3 linked regions of the Oryctolagus cuniculus genome follow. The protein of the gene in region 2 purifies or fractionates together with the protein of the main gene of each other region. This does not show direct contact. Links are inferred from orthologs where the notes say so. Each region holds a gene or a part of one and is shown on either strand. Other genes may lie near its edges.

What was found. The genes of interacting proteins can lie anywhere in the genome.
Region 1: the proteins of IGF1R (region 2) and ARRB1 purify together in Homo sapiens (affinity purification with western blotting; 3 studies listed by BioGRID and IntAct, with this or other methods). This does not show direct contact. The link is inferred for Oryctolagus cuniculus from reciprocal best matches to the Homo sapiens genes IGF1R and ARRB1.
Region 3: the proteins of IGF1R (region 2) and RACK1 purify together in Homo sapiens (affinity purification with western blotting; 4 studies listed by BioGRID, with this or other methods). This does not show direct contact. The link is inferred for Oryctolagus cuniculus from reciprocal best matches to the Homo sapiens genes IGF1R and RACK1.

What each region holds. Positions count from the first base shown.
Region 1 is NC_091432.1:66,410,872-66,415,297, reverse strand, and holds part of ARRB1 (beta-arrestin-1), read left to right. Parts: intron 1-169; coding exon 170-253; intron 254-1,666; coding exon 1,667-1,690; intron 1,691-3,106; coding exon 3,107-3,177; intron 3,178-3,789; coding exon 3,790-3,841; intron 3,842-3,995; coding exon of another isoform or gene 3,996-4,017; exon of another isoform or gene 4,018-4,426. UniProt on the Homo sapiens protein: Functions in regulating agonist-mediated G-protein coupled receptor (GPCR) signaling by mediating both receptor desensitization and resensitization processes.
Region 2 is NC_091443.1:8,707,697-8,712,861, reverse strand, and holds the start of IGF1R (insulin-like growth factor 1 receptor), read left to right. Parts: upstream 1-1,669; 5' UTR 1,670-1,980; coding exon 1,981-2,074; intron 2,075-5,165. UniProt on the Homo sapiens protein: Receptor tyrosine kinase which mediates actions of insulin-like growth factor 1 (IGF1). Binds IGF1 with high affinity and IGF2 and insulin (INS) with a lower affinity. The activated IGF1R is involved in cell growth and survival control.
Region 3 is NC_091445.1:34,930,958-34,935,383, reverse strand, and holds part of RACK1 (small ribosomal subunit protein RACK1), read left to right. Parts: intron 1-439; coding exon 440-611; intron 612-1,458; exon of another isoform or gene 1,459-1,537; intron 1,538-1,649; coding exon 1,650-1,797; intron 1,798-2,011; coding exon 2,012-2,107; intron 2,108-2,363; coding exon 2,364-2,474; intron 2,475-3,538; coding exon 3,539-3,679; intron 3,680-4,177; coding exon 4,178-4,288; intron 4,289-4,426. UniProt on the Homo sapiens protein: Scaffolding protein involved in the recruitment, assembly and/or regulation of a variety of signaling molecules. Interacts with a wide variety of proteins and plays a role in many cellular processes.

The sequences.
Region 1 (4,426 bases), on a different chromosome or scaffold from region 2:
AGGCCTTCCCTGAGCCCTGGCCCCTGGCCCCCGTGGCCGCTGGCTCCCTGGAGGGTGGGAGGAGCAGGGCTGCGGCCAGGGGAGGGAGGCCCGTGGGACACGGTGGCCGCTGCCCCTACTGCCGCACACCCACATCGGCCTCCCAGCCAGCTTCCCCTGTCGCCCACAGGATGCGGGAAGGGGCCAACCGCGAGATCCTGGGCATCATCGTCTCCTACAAAGTGAAAGTCAAGCTGGTGGTGTCACGGGGCGGGTGAGTGCGGGAGCTGAGCCTGAGGGCACCCAGGGGCCGTCCGCGCCCACAGCCCCCGCCCCCCTCCCCTGCCTTCCGGTCCATCTTCTCGTTCGCAGCAGGATTGGGCACGAGGCTTCCTGTCCCTTCTCTTCCTCCTCCCCATCCTCACCCTCCTCTTTGTGTCTGGAGCGTGCACTGAGGGTCGGCCAGGGCCCCAGGGGAGGACATCCATGCTGGGGGTCCCGGGGGGACTGAGCCCCTCACCCACCTTGCAGTGCAGCACCCACCCCACTCCCGCTGGGGACATAGCCCAAGGGACTCAGGCAGATTGGGGGTTTGCTGGCTGGCCTGGCTTTCCCGTTTTACAGGGCAGGAAGCTGAGGCCCACAGTTTGCCACCCCCATGAAGGTCAGGGTGCGGCCTGGGTGTCGGGGTCACAGCCGGGGACCAGGTGCTTCCTTGCCCCGAGCAGAGTTCGTCAGTGGGGACTCAGAGCAGCCCTCCCCTCTCCCCACGTCCTGGACGGACGTGTTATACACCGGAACCGGGATTTCTCACGGGTCAGAGAACTTGTTCTGACTTAGTTTAGGAGTGTCTGTAGCGAGGTTGAACAGCCGTGTAGGGGCAGGTGTGCAGCGGGTTGAGGATGCCCGTGCCACAGCACCTGCGTTTGAGGCCTGGCGCTGGTTTCCTGCTGATGGGGACCCTGGGAGGCGGCGGTGTGGCTCAGAGAGCTGGCTTCCTGCCACTCACACAGGCAGCCTGGATTGGGTTCCTGGCTCCTGGCTTCGGCTGCCCTCGCTGTTGCAGTTCAGTGGGGAGCGAACCAGCGGATGGGAGTTTTCTCTGTGTCTCTGCCTCCCGGATAAATGAATAAAAGCTTAAAAGAGAAAAGAAAAGCTAAATCCATTAGACATGGCGTCTCCTGTGCAGTGCTCCTGGTGAACCACAGGCAGGGCAGGCAGCACTGGAGTGGGTTTTTTTTTTTTTTGCAGGGGGAGGGAGGAGATCTTCCACCCCCTGTTCACTCTCCAAATGGCATCAACAGCCAGCTCTGGGCCAGGCTGAAGCCAGGAGCCTGGAACTCTATCCGGTCTCCCACATTACTTGGGCCATCACCTGCTGCCTCCCAGGCGTGTTAGCACGGAGCTGGGCGGGACTCAGACCTGTGCCTCCGGTGTGGGATGTCGCATCGCAGGCAGCGGCTTGGCGCCCTGTGCCACCGTGGCGGCCCCGGAGCTCACGTGTGCACCTGCTTTCCGAAGGAAAGGGCCTGCTGAGCTTGGCAGTGCGCCCCCAGGGGAGGGGGGCGTGTATGTCCCAGGGTCTGCTCTGTCTGAGGGGCAGCAGAGGTGGTGAATGAATGTGCTTTCTGTTTTTTCCTCTCTCAACTCTCCTGACCACTCCTCCTGCCTCCTCTGACCCACCCAGCCTGCTGGGAGATCTTGCGTCCAGGTAATGTCCCTCGCTTTGGCCTGGTTGATTACCTTCCTGCAGGGCCCAGATACCCCATGGAGCAGGGGCATGGGGCGCTGGGTTGGAAGGACCCTTAGTGGCCGTTTCAGATGGCCAAGGTCAGGTGCGTGCTGATGCCAGAATGCTCTCGAGAAAGACACAGTATCTACTCAGGAAGCTGCGCCCTGCTAGTCCTCAGCTCTCGCCAGCAGCAAATCACTGAATTCCCGAGCTACTGGATTACAGGGTATTTAGAAGTGCAGGCTTTGTGACTTCCCGACTTGCCCGCTGGTGAGCCAAGGAGAGGCCCTTCGGGGAGCCACATTTGTGCATGAGATGGCCTGGGTGCCAGCCGGATAGACCCACCCTCCTAAGATGCACGCCCTGGCTTCTCCCTGGCCAAGCATCCCTGGCCAAGCATCCCAAGAATACTTAGTCCAGTGTGAGAGGAAAGTCATTCAGCTCTGTTCGGTTGAGTTCAGCAGAGGTTTCCGGACCCCAGTGCTGTGCCAGTGAGTGGCGGGGCTGGCGGGATCCACTCTCAGCTCAGCCTACGCCCCTGACTGCTCCACTCCCCAGCCGGACCCTGGAGGTGCCCATGGGTCAGGGTCGGGATGGAGATCCCAGGGTGAAGGGTGTTGCTCCAAGATGGCTTCAGGCCGCTGCTGTCACACAGTGCTGAAGGGTGTGGCCCTGGAGCCAGAATCCTCTGTCACTCCCCATGAATAGCTGTGTAGCCTTGGGCAGGATGCTTTCATCTCCTTGTGCCTCAGTTTCTCCACCCATACATTGGGGGCAATGATACAGTTGTTGTGAGGATTCAACGAGTTGCTTTATGGAAAGTGCCCAGGAGAGTCCTTGGCCGAGTCAGTGCCGTGGAAATCTCTGCCCTCCCTGTCCTGCCCCGCAGGGACCCGGCAGAGAAGGTCAAGTCCAAAGCCCTGGCCGGTGGCTGATGCCTCCCATTCACCACAAACCTGTGTGGACAGCCTTGGGCCCTGGGTCCCAGCTGACCCGACACTGGTAAAATGTACCTCTAGCCGTGCCTCCTGCAGGTGGCAGGTATCCAGGGTCAGCTGGGCACTGTTTTAGGTGCTGGGAGGGGTGGGCACACTCCCAGCCAGGAGTTGGGAAGGGCCGAGGTGGCTGTGGCCGTCTGAGATGGGCGGGGCTCAGGGCACCTGCAGGGCCCCCAGTGGCCATGGTGTGCACTGGCCTGGGCAGTCGTGCCCCCGTGTCCGGGGGCCCTGATCCAGGAAGGGGAAGTTCTGTTTCCATCAGGGACAGGGGAGGAGGTCTCCTACATTCCTCCCCTAGAAAGATCTCCATCTTGGAGAGTGCAGAGTGAGGGCCAGAGAGCCCTCCGCAGCCCTCCCGCTGAGGCCTGGGCTCAGCAGGCCTGGCTCTCTGTTTCAGTGACGTGGCCGTGGAGCTGCCCTTCACCCTGATGCACCCCAAGCCCAAAGAGGAGCCCCCACATCGGGAAGGTGAGCAGGACTGGGAGGGTCCTTGCCGTGAGGGTTTCAGGGGGCCCACTCCCTCCTCCCCTGCCTGCCGCACCTCTCCCTCCAGGTCAGCCTCAGCCTGGTGCACCCTCTCCCCAGCTCCCCAGGATCTCCCGTGGGTCCCACAACTCCCGTCTGCCGTGGGCCCCAGTGGGACACAGCTGGCCCTCACTGTCTTCTCCGTGGGGGAGCAAGGCCTGGGCTGGGTCCTGTGCGCACTAGGGGGAAGGGCTGCGTGGACGAGAGCCCCCCCACCCCCAGCATACCATTCCTGGAGGCGCCCGATTGTTCATTGATATTAACTCCATTTTGAAACACAGCTCAAGTTCAGCGAGGTCAGAGTTAGTGGGAGGTTCGCATGCTAGGCAGTGCACTGAAGTGAGCTGGAGCCAGTACCCCGAGGTTGCCCTGCTCCTGTGGCCACTCAGGGCCCTTCCATGGCCTTAGATGATTGGCAGGCCCCCTTTTCCACGTTCCCCTTCTTCCCTGACCCTCCCCTACTGAGCCTGGCAGTCCCGGGGTGGAGGGCTGTGCCCACTCACCTCCATGTCTCCCCACGCACTAACCCCTGGGCGCCCCCTGCCCTGTGTTCAGTTCCAGAGAACGAGACGCCGGTAGATACCAATCTCATAGAACTTGACACAAAGTAAGCGGAACCCTGCCTGCTGGGGTCTGGGGGGTTGCGGGGCAGGGCGGGGCCGGGGGGGGGCGGAGAGGTCATTTGCATATACGCTTATTAACCCTGAGGAGCAGGTGGTCTAACCCCATCAGCTGAGAGCCGCCTCTGCTCGCCTCCTCAGCAACCCGCTTGCCTGCATGTGACTTGAAGGACCCTCGTGCCTGTTCCTCTTCCTCCTGCCTTGGTGGGGTTTGTCTTCCTTCCTTGTCCTTGCACGTCCGTCCACCCGTCCGTCCGTCCGTCCGTCCACAGCGCCTGCGCCTGCTCGTCTCACACAGGGCTGGCTCGGGGCCCCGCCCACACCCCACCCCACCAATGGAATCAGGCTGCGGGGCGGGCCAGGGTCTGGGACTGGAGGACTGACCCATGGGGTGTGCCATGTGGTCCCGGACAGCGAGAACCACCCCCAGGTGGTTTTCTCCCTCCAGCTCCTGTCCCCCAGGAGGATTCTGGCATGTGGGGTGTCCAGTCTCCCCACCGGGATGCCCCACATGTTGGCGGCAGGATGTGGGGCAGGGAGCTTTGGTGGCTCCCGTGGGGTCCCGAGTAGAC
Region 2 (5,165 bases):
CCCGAGCGGCAGGACCCGCGGCGGGACCCGGGTCGACGCCCCCCTCTGCGCTCCTCTGGGCCCCTCGGACACGCCCCCCCACTCCGGGTCCCGCAGCCCCGCACCGTGCACGCACCACTGCCGCTCCCCGCAGCCGCCCACGTGGTGGAGCTCAAGCCGCGCGAGGCCTGGGGGGCGCGCTCCAGGCGCGCCGCGGGTCGGGGAGGCCCCCGCCAGGGCGACCCCGCGCGGCCGGCCCCCAGCCCGGGCCCCCGCGTTTCCTCCCCCGAAGGGAGGGAGGCAGCAGCGCGCGGGCTGTCCCTGCCTGGCGCCCGCCGCGCCCTCTGGCGGCCGCCGCGGCCACGCGTTCTGGGCACGCGGGGCTGCCAAGCTGGACCCCCCTTTCCAGGGCTCGGGGTCTTCGGCCCGCAGCGGGCAGTGTCCACCCTCCACCACCCCGTGCCCTAGGCTGAGCCTCGCGAGCCGCGCCCCGGAGCTCCGGGCTTTCCTGCGCGACGCTGTGGGCGCCGCCGCCGTGCGTGGCAAGTGCGGGGTGTCAGAGCCCAGTGGCTCCCCTGGCTCCCAGGTGTGCCCCTCCCGTCGCGCGCGGGGCCCCCCGGCATGCTGCGAAAAAATGCCGCATGCACGCACTTATTTATTTATTTTGCAACAGCTGCACGGAACAATGAGGCTTTTCAAGAACCGGGGGGCGCGCTCTCCAGCCGCGCCGTTGTTTTTCCACGAACCCCGCCGGGCTCCGCGAAACCCTCCCCAGTCCGGCCCCGCCCGACCCCTCCGCGGGCCCCGCACGGGCGCCGGGGGCATTGTTTTTGGAGTCCTGCGGGAGGGAGGCGCGTGCGGGGCGGCCAGCGCAGTGCGGGTGGGGGCGGGCGCGCGCCTGAGTGCGCGAGGGAGCCGGCGCGGGCGGGGGCGCGGCAGGGGCGGTGCCTTGCAGCCTCGCGCCCCACGCCCGGGCTCCGCTCCGCACGTCCCGGGGATCCCGGACTCCGGCTCTTGGCGCGCGCCGGCCTGGGCCCGGCCCTTGGCGCGGCGCGGCTGCGGCGGCGGCCGCTCGGGGGTGCGCGCGGGCACGTGTGCGCGGCCCCGAGGCGCGCGCGAGCCCCCAGTGTGTGGCGGCGGCGGCGGCGGCGGCGCGGCGAGGCTGGGGTTCTTGTTTACCAGCGTTAACTCCGCTGAGCGGAAAAAAAAGGGAAAAAGCCCGAGGAGGAGGGAGCGCACCCGGTGAACTCGAGACGGGCGAGCGAGCGACGGGGACGCCGCCGGCGAGCCTGCTCGCGGCCGGCTCCCCGGGACCCCGGCCCTCCACGCCCCTCGCGCGCGGGGCAGCCCCGCGGGCGTCGCGGCCTTGACCTTCAGCGAGCCGGAGCCCCCGCGCGCGGAGCCCGGGCGGCTGCGGGGAGCGGAGCGCGGCGCGGCCGGCCCGCCGCTTTGTGTGCGTCCTGGATTTGGGAAGGAGCTGGCGGCGGCGGCTGCGCTGAGGGCGGCGGCGCGGTGAGCGCAGCCCGAGCGGGAGGAGGAGGGGGGGGGAGCCGCTCATTCATTTTTACTCCGCATTTGCGCCCCTCGCCGGCCTCCCCCGCCACCGCGACTTGGGAGCGAGCTTGGCACCGCGACGCGCCCTCCCTCGCGGGGCCCCAGGCGCGGAGCCACCTCCCCTCCTCGGGGGTCGGGCTTGTTTTTCCTCTCCTGGACGCACTCGGGCTTTGCCTCTTTTCTGGGCAGTGACCCCCACACACACCTCTTGCCTCTCTGGATTTGAAAATGGAGGCCGACGACGCCGACAGCCCTCCCCAGAGCGCCTTGGGTTCCCCACTCTGCCGAGTCCTGGGCTGCGGCTGCTGACGCCGAGGGGTCTCCCGCCCCGTCTGCGCTGCCTTCGGACCGTTCTTCCTTCGCTCTTGGCTTTGGAGCGAAGACTGCTTTTGAACCCCCCCCCCCTTTTTTTTTTGAGAAAGGGGACTTTCGTTCCAAATCAAAGGAATGAAGTCTGGCTCCGGAGGAGGGTCCCGGACCTCGGCGTGGGGGCTCCTGTTTCTCTCCGCCGCGCTCTCGGTCTGGCCGACGAGTGGAGAAAGTGAGTATGCGCCCGCCGCCCGCGGCCACTGCGGGAACTTTTCTCCGAGGGCCTGCGCCCTGTTTGCGAAACCGGAGTTGCCACCGTCGCAGCTGTCGGGCCCCCGGCTCGGGCGCGCGGGGCGGAGGGCGGACCCGGGCCCGAAGCCTTTGGGTGTGGAGCCCACCGGGCGCATCCCGCGCGGGCAGGGGCTGCGGGGCTTTCTAGTTCGTAGTCCCAAGAGCCCAGCCCGGAGGCCAGGTGGGTGGGCCGTGCTCACTCCGGGCGGCAGGGGCCCGCCCGGGCTCGGGGACTCCGCAGGGAAGTTGGGGCCCGACGCCCTGCTCTCGCCCCGCACGGGACGGCGACTCCCGCGGGCGCGCAGACGGCCCGCACGGCACTGAGGCCGCGCCACGCCTGCCTCTGGGGCCGCCAGGGTGCTGGGAGCGGGGAGCCCTCGGCCCGCCATCGCGAGTTGCCCTCGAGGGCGTCGTGTCCCGCGCAGCCGCCCCGCAGCCGCCGGACACTTTGGCAAACATCCAGGCGCGGCCTCCAGCCGCCTAGTGTGCCTTTGCCCCTCGGGCGACTTCGGGCTCGGGGCGCGCTGCGTTCCTTTGGCCCGTCCCCCGCCCCTGGCGTCCCGGAGATGCTGGAGCGCCCCTCGGGCGGCCCCTGGGCGAGTGCTAGGCCCGGGGCCTCCGTCAGCCTAGTCCTTCCGGGAGCGCGTGTGGGGCCCCAGGACCGTCTCCAGATTCTGTCTGGCCCGAGGGCGCCTTTGCCGCCCCGGGGATTGCGGGGAGGGAGGGGGGCCTGTGATCGGGCAGCGCCCGGGAGTGCGGGAGCGCGTGTGTGGCCGGAGCCGACGTGCGTTTCCACACACGTGCTCGCTCGCTGTCGCCGCGGACTCCCAACCCGGGCCCCGCTGCGCGCGTGGCGCGCGGAGGTTGACGGAGCGCGGGACCTGCGGCGGGGGTTTGCGTGCGAGCGCGGAGCCCTGGCACGCGTTTGGCTGCGACCAGTGTTGCGTGGCACCGCCTCGACCGCCCCGCGCTTCCTTTGTGCAGTTAATAAGCGGTGTCGCCCCACGCGCGCTGTCGCTTGCCATCTGATGGCTTTTGTTTTGGAGGCGTCGGGGGTGCGGGGAGCGAGCGCACCCACGGAGTGTGCAGGCAGGGCCGGGGCGGCGCGGTTATTCTCGGAAGGACCCGAGGTGGCTCCCGGGGACTTCAGGGATGGTAGGATAAGGTGAACGCGCAGGAAGGTTGAAAAGCAGTCGCGGGGCTGGGGCTGGAAACGGCGAGGGCGTTGGTGAGTAATGGTTGCCGCGGGTATGCAGGTGGTGCCTATTAACTGAAAAATCACGACTGAGCGGGGCGGGGGGCCGCCTGGCCCATCACGGGGAGGTTCGGAGAAGCCGTTTCCATCAGCAAGCCCCACTTAGACGTCTCATCGGCGGCGAGCGCGTGATGCGGGGAGGCGCAGATCCTTACGGAATTAGCGTGTTTACTGCGTGGAGGGAGGCGCAGACCCGGGCTCTCCTGCTCTTTGTTTTCCAAACTTTGAGCGCGCGGGATTGGACGGACGGGTTCCTGCTGCCCCCTCCTGAGGCGCGGGGGTGGTGTTTGGGGGACTGGGCGGGGGGGGGGGGGGGCTCTTGGCCAGGACAGCCGAGTGCAGCGTGGAGGACCCCAGAGAGCGAATCCATTTTGTGGCGGCGTGGTGTCGCACCGCGCTGTTTGCTCTCCCTTTCTTACTGACTGTTAGTGAGTTCTGAAATCTAGAACTGCAGCGTGGCCTTGCTTCTGGCCAGGACTCGGAGCCCTTCTCGCGGGGAGTGGTTTTTGGCCAGGGCGCTTTTTCTTGAGAACACAAAGGGGAGGCAGAAAGTCTGTCGATGTAGGTTTTTAAAACCGCGATGCCAAGACGGACCGCTCTTCCCCGGGGGTCTCTGAGGTTGTGAGTTCCTTAGAACCCGACGATGGCCAGGAGGCGCCCTGATCCTCCTGAGGTTTGCTCAAGTCCAGCTCAGTGCCGGCCCCACCCGCTTGCTGCAGTTTTGAGGGCTACAAGAAAATGAGTTCAGTTTTTTTAAAACCCGAAAGGCTCCGGACCACGGGAGAGAGAAGCCAGCCGGGTCCTAGCCGGGAAGGGTGTTCTGGGGGCGGCTGTGAGCGCCGTTATAGGGGTTGGTTCGGTTCCAGGTGCCCTGCCAGCACACTGAGTTTTTTAGCGTTTCTTCTTTGAGCATGACAACTCTAGGGAGAGAGTTTTAGAAAATTTTGAGTTTTTTTTTTTTTTTTTTTGTGGGGGGAGAAAGATGTGGGCATGTTTGTCTCACTATCATAGGAGCAGGGCATTTAAATAAAGGAGATAAAGGAGGTTTGGAAGTTATACGTGGCACCTAAACGTTCCGATGACTGTTTTTTTAAAACAGCCAACATGCACCTTAAAGTTGCCTTGGCCATCTCCGTGGAAGGATTGTCATCTTTTTGCCCCCGGCACAGGAATATCCTGTTGTTAGACAAGTGTCCATTTGTGACAGGTCACTGTTTCAAAGGACAACCCAGAATAAGAAGTTTTGAAAGAGCCCAGTTAGCAAACTCTAGTTCCCACCCTTTGGAGGGCAATAGCAGGTAAAAGGTGTTTTTGTAGAGGGCTGGTGTGTGGCTGGGATTTGGAGTTTCAGAGGGCATGTGCCTGATCTGTCCGAAGGGATTAGAAAAGCCCCACTCTCAGAAACTCAGTAAGGTTGATTAGATTACCTTAGACACGGCGTGAAGCAAGAGAGGTCTGTCACCAAGATCACCTGTTGTGCGATCCCACTTGTATGAAATGTCCAGAGCAAGCAGATCTGTGGAGGAAGTGGATGAGTGGTTGCCGGGGCCATCGGGGCGACTGCTGGTGGGTCCAAGGTTTTTTTTGGGGGGTGATGGTTGCACAACTCTGAGTATACCAAAAACCGTTGAATTGTGCACATTAACTCAGCGATCTTTATGGTAATAGAATTCTATCTCAATAAATCTGTCCTTTTTTAAAAAAATGTTAAGGTTGAAAAGAGTGCACTGAGACATAAATAGATTAAATATATTCAGGAAATTCATCCTGTGTCTTT
Region 3 (4,426 bases), on a different chromosome or scaffold from region 2:
ACAGCTTAAAAATCGTCGAAAGTTAGGAATAATAATTAGAAATGGTCAGGAGCCCTCAGATACAATGGTACTTGTATCGGTTTGTAGGAGGAGAAATTTTAAGAGGGGGGCGCTAAAATGACTTAGTTAATTTTTCCACAGCTTTCTCAAGCATTCTGGCAAGATACAAAATATATGTTGAATTAGTTTGAATCTCAAGAAGGGGTAACCGTATTCTCTGACACCTGGGTTAGATTTTCGTGCTACAGTTTAGGCCCACCTGCCTGTTTTTTGGAACTGTTGGCCACTGGGCCCTGGCAAATAACCTACAGTTTGTTTCCTCTCGAAGTGTCTTTTTAAGTGTTAACCTACATATGATTTTGTAACATCTTAAATTTTCAATAGGGTCAGCAAGTGGGCTGCAAAGTTCCTCACCAGTTTCCCTTTTGTCTTTCTTTAGACAAGACCATCATCATGTGGAAGCTGACTAGGGATGAGACCAACTATGGCATCCCGCAGCGAGCTCTTCGGGGTCACTCCCACTTCGTTAGTGATGTGGTCATATCTTCAGATGGCCAGTTTGCCCTCTCAGGGTCCTGGGACGGAACCCTTCGCCTCTGGGATCTCACAACGCAAGTAGCTGCTCACCTAGCTGTGGGATCTTGGGGAAAAGCTGGGAAGAAATGAGGTAGATGGCAATTGGGAGGTTATCTTCCAGGAGAAAGTTGAAGTATAAAGTAAAAACTACCTACAGAAGATAGTTATTCGGGCCCCCTCTTAATTTTTTTTTTTCTAAGATTTATTTATTTGAGAGAGTTAGAGACAGTGAGAGGGAGGGACAAAGAAAGGTCTTTCTTCCATTGGTTCAGCCCCCAAATGGCTGCAGTGGTCAGAGCTGCGCCTGTCCAAAGCCAGGAGCTTCTTCCTGGTCTCCCATGTGGGTGCAGGGGTCCAAGCACTTGGACCATCTTCTGTGGCTTTCCCTGGCCACAGCAAAGAGCTGGATTGCAAGAGGATACCCTGGGACTAGAACCAGTGCCCACATGGGATGCTGGCAGTGTGTCACAGCACTGGCCCCTCAGGGGGCCCTTTGATTTAATTATGGTTGCTGAGAAGTAGTCTGGTTGAATTTTTGAGAAAGGTGTTCCTTTTTCCATTGGTCACCCCCCAAGTGGCCACTGCAGCTGGTGCACTGTGCCAATTGGAAGCCAGGAGCCAGGTGCTTCCTTCTGGTCTCCCATGGGGGTGCAGGGCCCAAGGACCTGGGCCATCCTCCACTGCCTTCCCGGGCCACAGCAGAGAGCTGGACTGGAAGAGGAGCAACCAGGACAGAATGCAGCGCCCCAACCGCGACTAGAACCCGTGGCGCCAGCCTGGTTGAATGTTTTTATAGGTGTAGCAATTTGGAGTAGACAGCGGTTGGAACAAGTTTTATCTTGAATTTCTGTTCTAGATAAGCAGTTGGCAAGTATAATGGAGGATCCTGGTGATGACAGATGACATTGTCAGCCAATCCCCATGTGGGAGTGAGGACATGTCCTGCAATTCTGAAGGGATTCTCTGACATAAACTCGGAAAAGACTTGTTAGTGATGCAGTCCACCGGGATGGGGCGAATGCCAGAAAAATGTTGGTAAAGTTTGTCTAGAGTGACAGAGCTGTCTTTCTCAGGGGCACCACCACAAGACGATTTGTAGGCCATACCAAGGATGTACTGAGTGTTGCCTTCTCCTCTGATAACCGTCAGATTGTCTCTGGATCTCGAGATAAAACCATCAAGTTATGGAATACTCTGGGTGTATGCAAATACACTGTCCAGGTAAAGTGAAGGCAGCAAACACATGTTCAAGGTTCCCATGCACCCTTTCTTTTAACCTTTGCCTTATGTGTTGACTAAAGAGATTCTGTTCTTCATGGTTCAGTTAGGAGATGTGAACACAGTACTGCCAATATCCATTCCACCGAGATCAGGGATGGAGTTCTATAGTTTAAGATAGAAATGTTTTCTCTTACTTCCTTTCCATTCTCTGCAGGATGAGAGCCATTCAGAGTGGGTATCTTGTGTCCGCTTCTCGCCCAACAGCAGCAATCCTATCATTGTCTCCTGTGGCTGGGACAAGCTAGTCAAGGTGAGTTTTGAGCTGGCATAGAGGGCTTGTACAAGCCAGAACCCCTTAGGCATTGTGGATTCCTTCAATTGACTTTTCCTCTTGTTGGATTTACTCAGTACAGACCATTGGTTTTTGACAGTTGGTCTTAAATAGCTAATTGATATCCCTTAAAAGCTTTTAAACAAGGTGCCAAGCCTTTTGCTGGGCTTGACTCTTCTCAGTCCTGGCTGATACGAGCTAAATTGTTCACCTGTAACCCCACCCATTTACACAGGTATGGAATCTGGCTAACTGCAAGCTGAAGACTAACCATATTGGCCACACTGGCTATCTGAACACTGTGACAGTGTCTCCAGATGGATCCCTTTGTGCTTCTGGAGGCAAGGTATTTGGGGGCCAGGAGTCTCAACCAGGGGGACAGTCTCATAGAAAGAATACCTTGGGGCCGGCGCCGTGGCTCAGTAAGCTAATCCTCCGCCTTGTGGCCCCGGTCGGGGCTCGGGATTCTGTCCCAGTTGCCTCTTCCAGGCCAGCTCTCTGCTCTGGCCCGGGAGTGCAGTGGAGGATGGCCCAAGTGCTTGGGCCCTGCACCCCATGGGAGACCAGGAGAAGCACCTGGCTCCTGGCTTCAGATCAGCGCCATGCACTGGCCATTGGAGGGTGAACCAACGGCAAAAGGAAGACCTTTCTGTCTGTTTCTCTCTCTCTCACTGTCCACTCTGCCTGTCAAAAAAAAAAAAAAAAAAAAGAATACCTTGGGTCTTCGACATAAACTATAAACTAAGTATTAGCCAGGTTATTCAAGAGTATGTTTCCAAAGGTCACTTACTGAAAATTACATGGGTGAGACATACTGTTCAAAGGAAAAAAAAAAATGTTTTCTCTGTAAAGTTTCTTGAAGCAATTGATGGATCCTGTTTGGAAATGATCATAGTGATTTTTTTGATAACCCATCAGAAAGTTTATGGGGCTATTGATGTCCTCTGTTAAAGGAAAAGCCTGTAGATATAAATATTGGTAGAGTCAGTAGCTTTCAAGAAAGCCAGGGTACTGAAGGATCTGATGGGCAAGAGAGTTTTGTGGCACGGCCCATTAAGCTGCTGCTTTGAGATGCCCACATCTCATATTGGAGTACCTAGTTCAAGTCTCAGCTACCTTCTGAGACACATCCTGGGAGGCAGCAGATAATGGTTCAAGTAGTTACATCCCTGCCATCCATGTGGGAGCCCTGTCATGTTCCTGGCCTTTGGCCTGACCTAGCTACAATTGTTAGTAGTATTTGGGGAGTGAACCAGCAAATAGAAGATCTATCTATTCTCCTCTCCATCATTCTGCCTTTCAGATGACTAAAATCTTTAAAAGCACATTGATGACAAAATCCTGAGGTGGGTGGGATTGACATCTGGGAGAGGTTACATTGTGCTGCTGACTCACCTTCCCTATCTGCAGGACGGGCAGGCCATGCTATGGGATCTCAATGAAGGCAAACACCTTTATACTTTGGATGGAGGAGACATCATCAATGCTCTGTGCTTTAGCCCCAACCGCTACTGGCTCTGTGCTGCCACAGGCCCTAGCATCAAGATCTGGGTAAGCATGAGATCGAATCCTGGCAATGTGACTTAACATGCCATATGGGTTTGATGCTGGGAGTCCCACATACTAAACAAATGCTAACCATCAAGCTGTTGGTGGAGACCTAGAAAAGTTCCCTGGATTGGGATTATTAATGGAGGGGAATATTTGCTTACTGAAAGGGGTGATTATGTATGGCAGAATACGCAGCCTCTGCATAATGGCTTTTTGGTCTGTGTAATTGTGTAGTGGGTCTGTTTAGTGTTAGCATCCCTGACATCTATCCACAAGATGTTGGTAACAGGCCATGTAACCTCTTCCATACCTAGTAGTTGCAACTGAAAATGCTTGTAGGCAATGCCACATGTCCCCTTGGGCAAAATCATCCTGTTGAGACTCTATTTATAAAAAGGGGCTTTTGAGAGGGGACCTCTGTTACTGAGTTTCTTAAAAAGTATCACTGGTATAAATGTATTAACAGTATCCTCACCCTGGTTTTGACCTATTTCTCAGGACTTAGAAGGCAAGATCATTGTAGATGAACTGAAGCAAGAAGTTATTAGTACCAGCAGCAAGGCAGAGCCACCCCAGTGTACATCTTTGGCCTGGTCTGCTGATGGCCAGGTAAGTCTGACTTCTCACTTAACTCACCTTCCAACATTTCTTCTCTATACTGCTATTTTTGACATAAAGGAAAGTGATTTTTTTAAAATGGCTTGGATGATCAAGAAAGAAATGTGGAATGCATGTTCCTTTCAACTG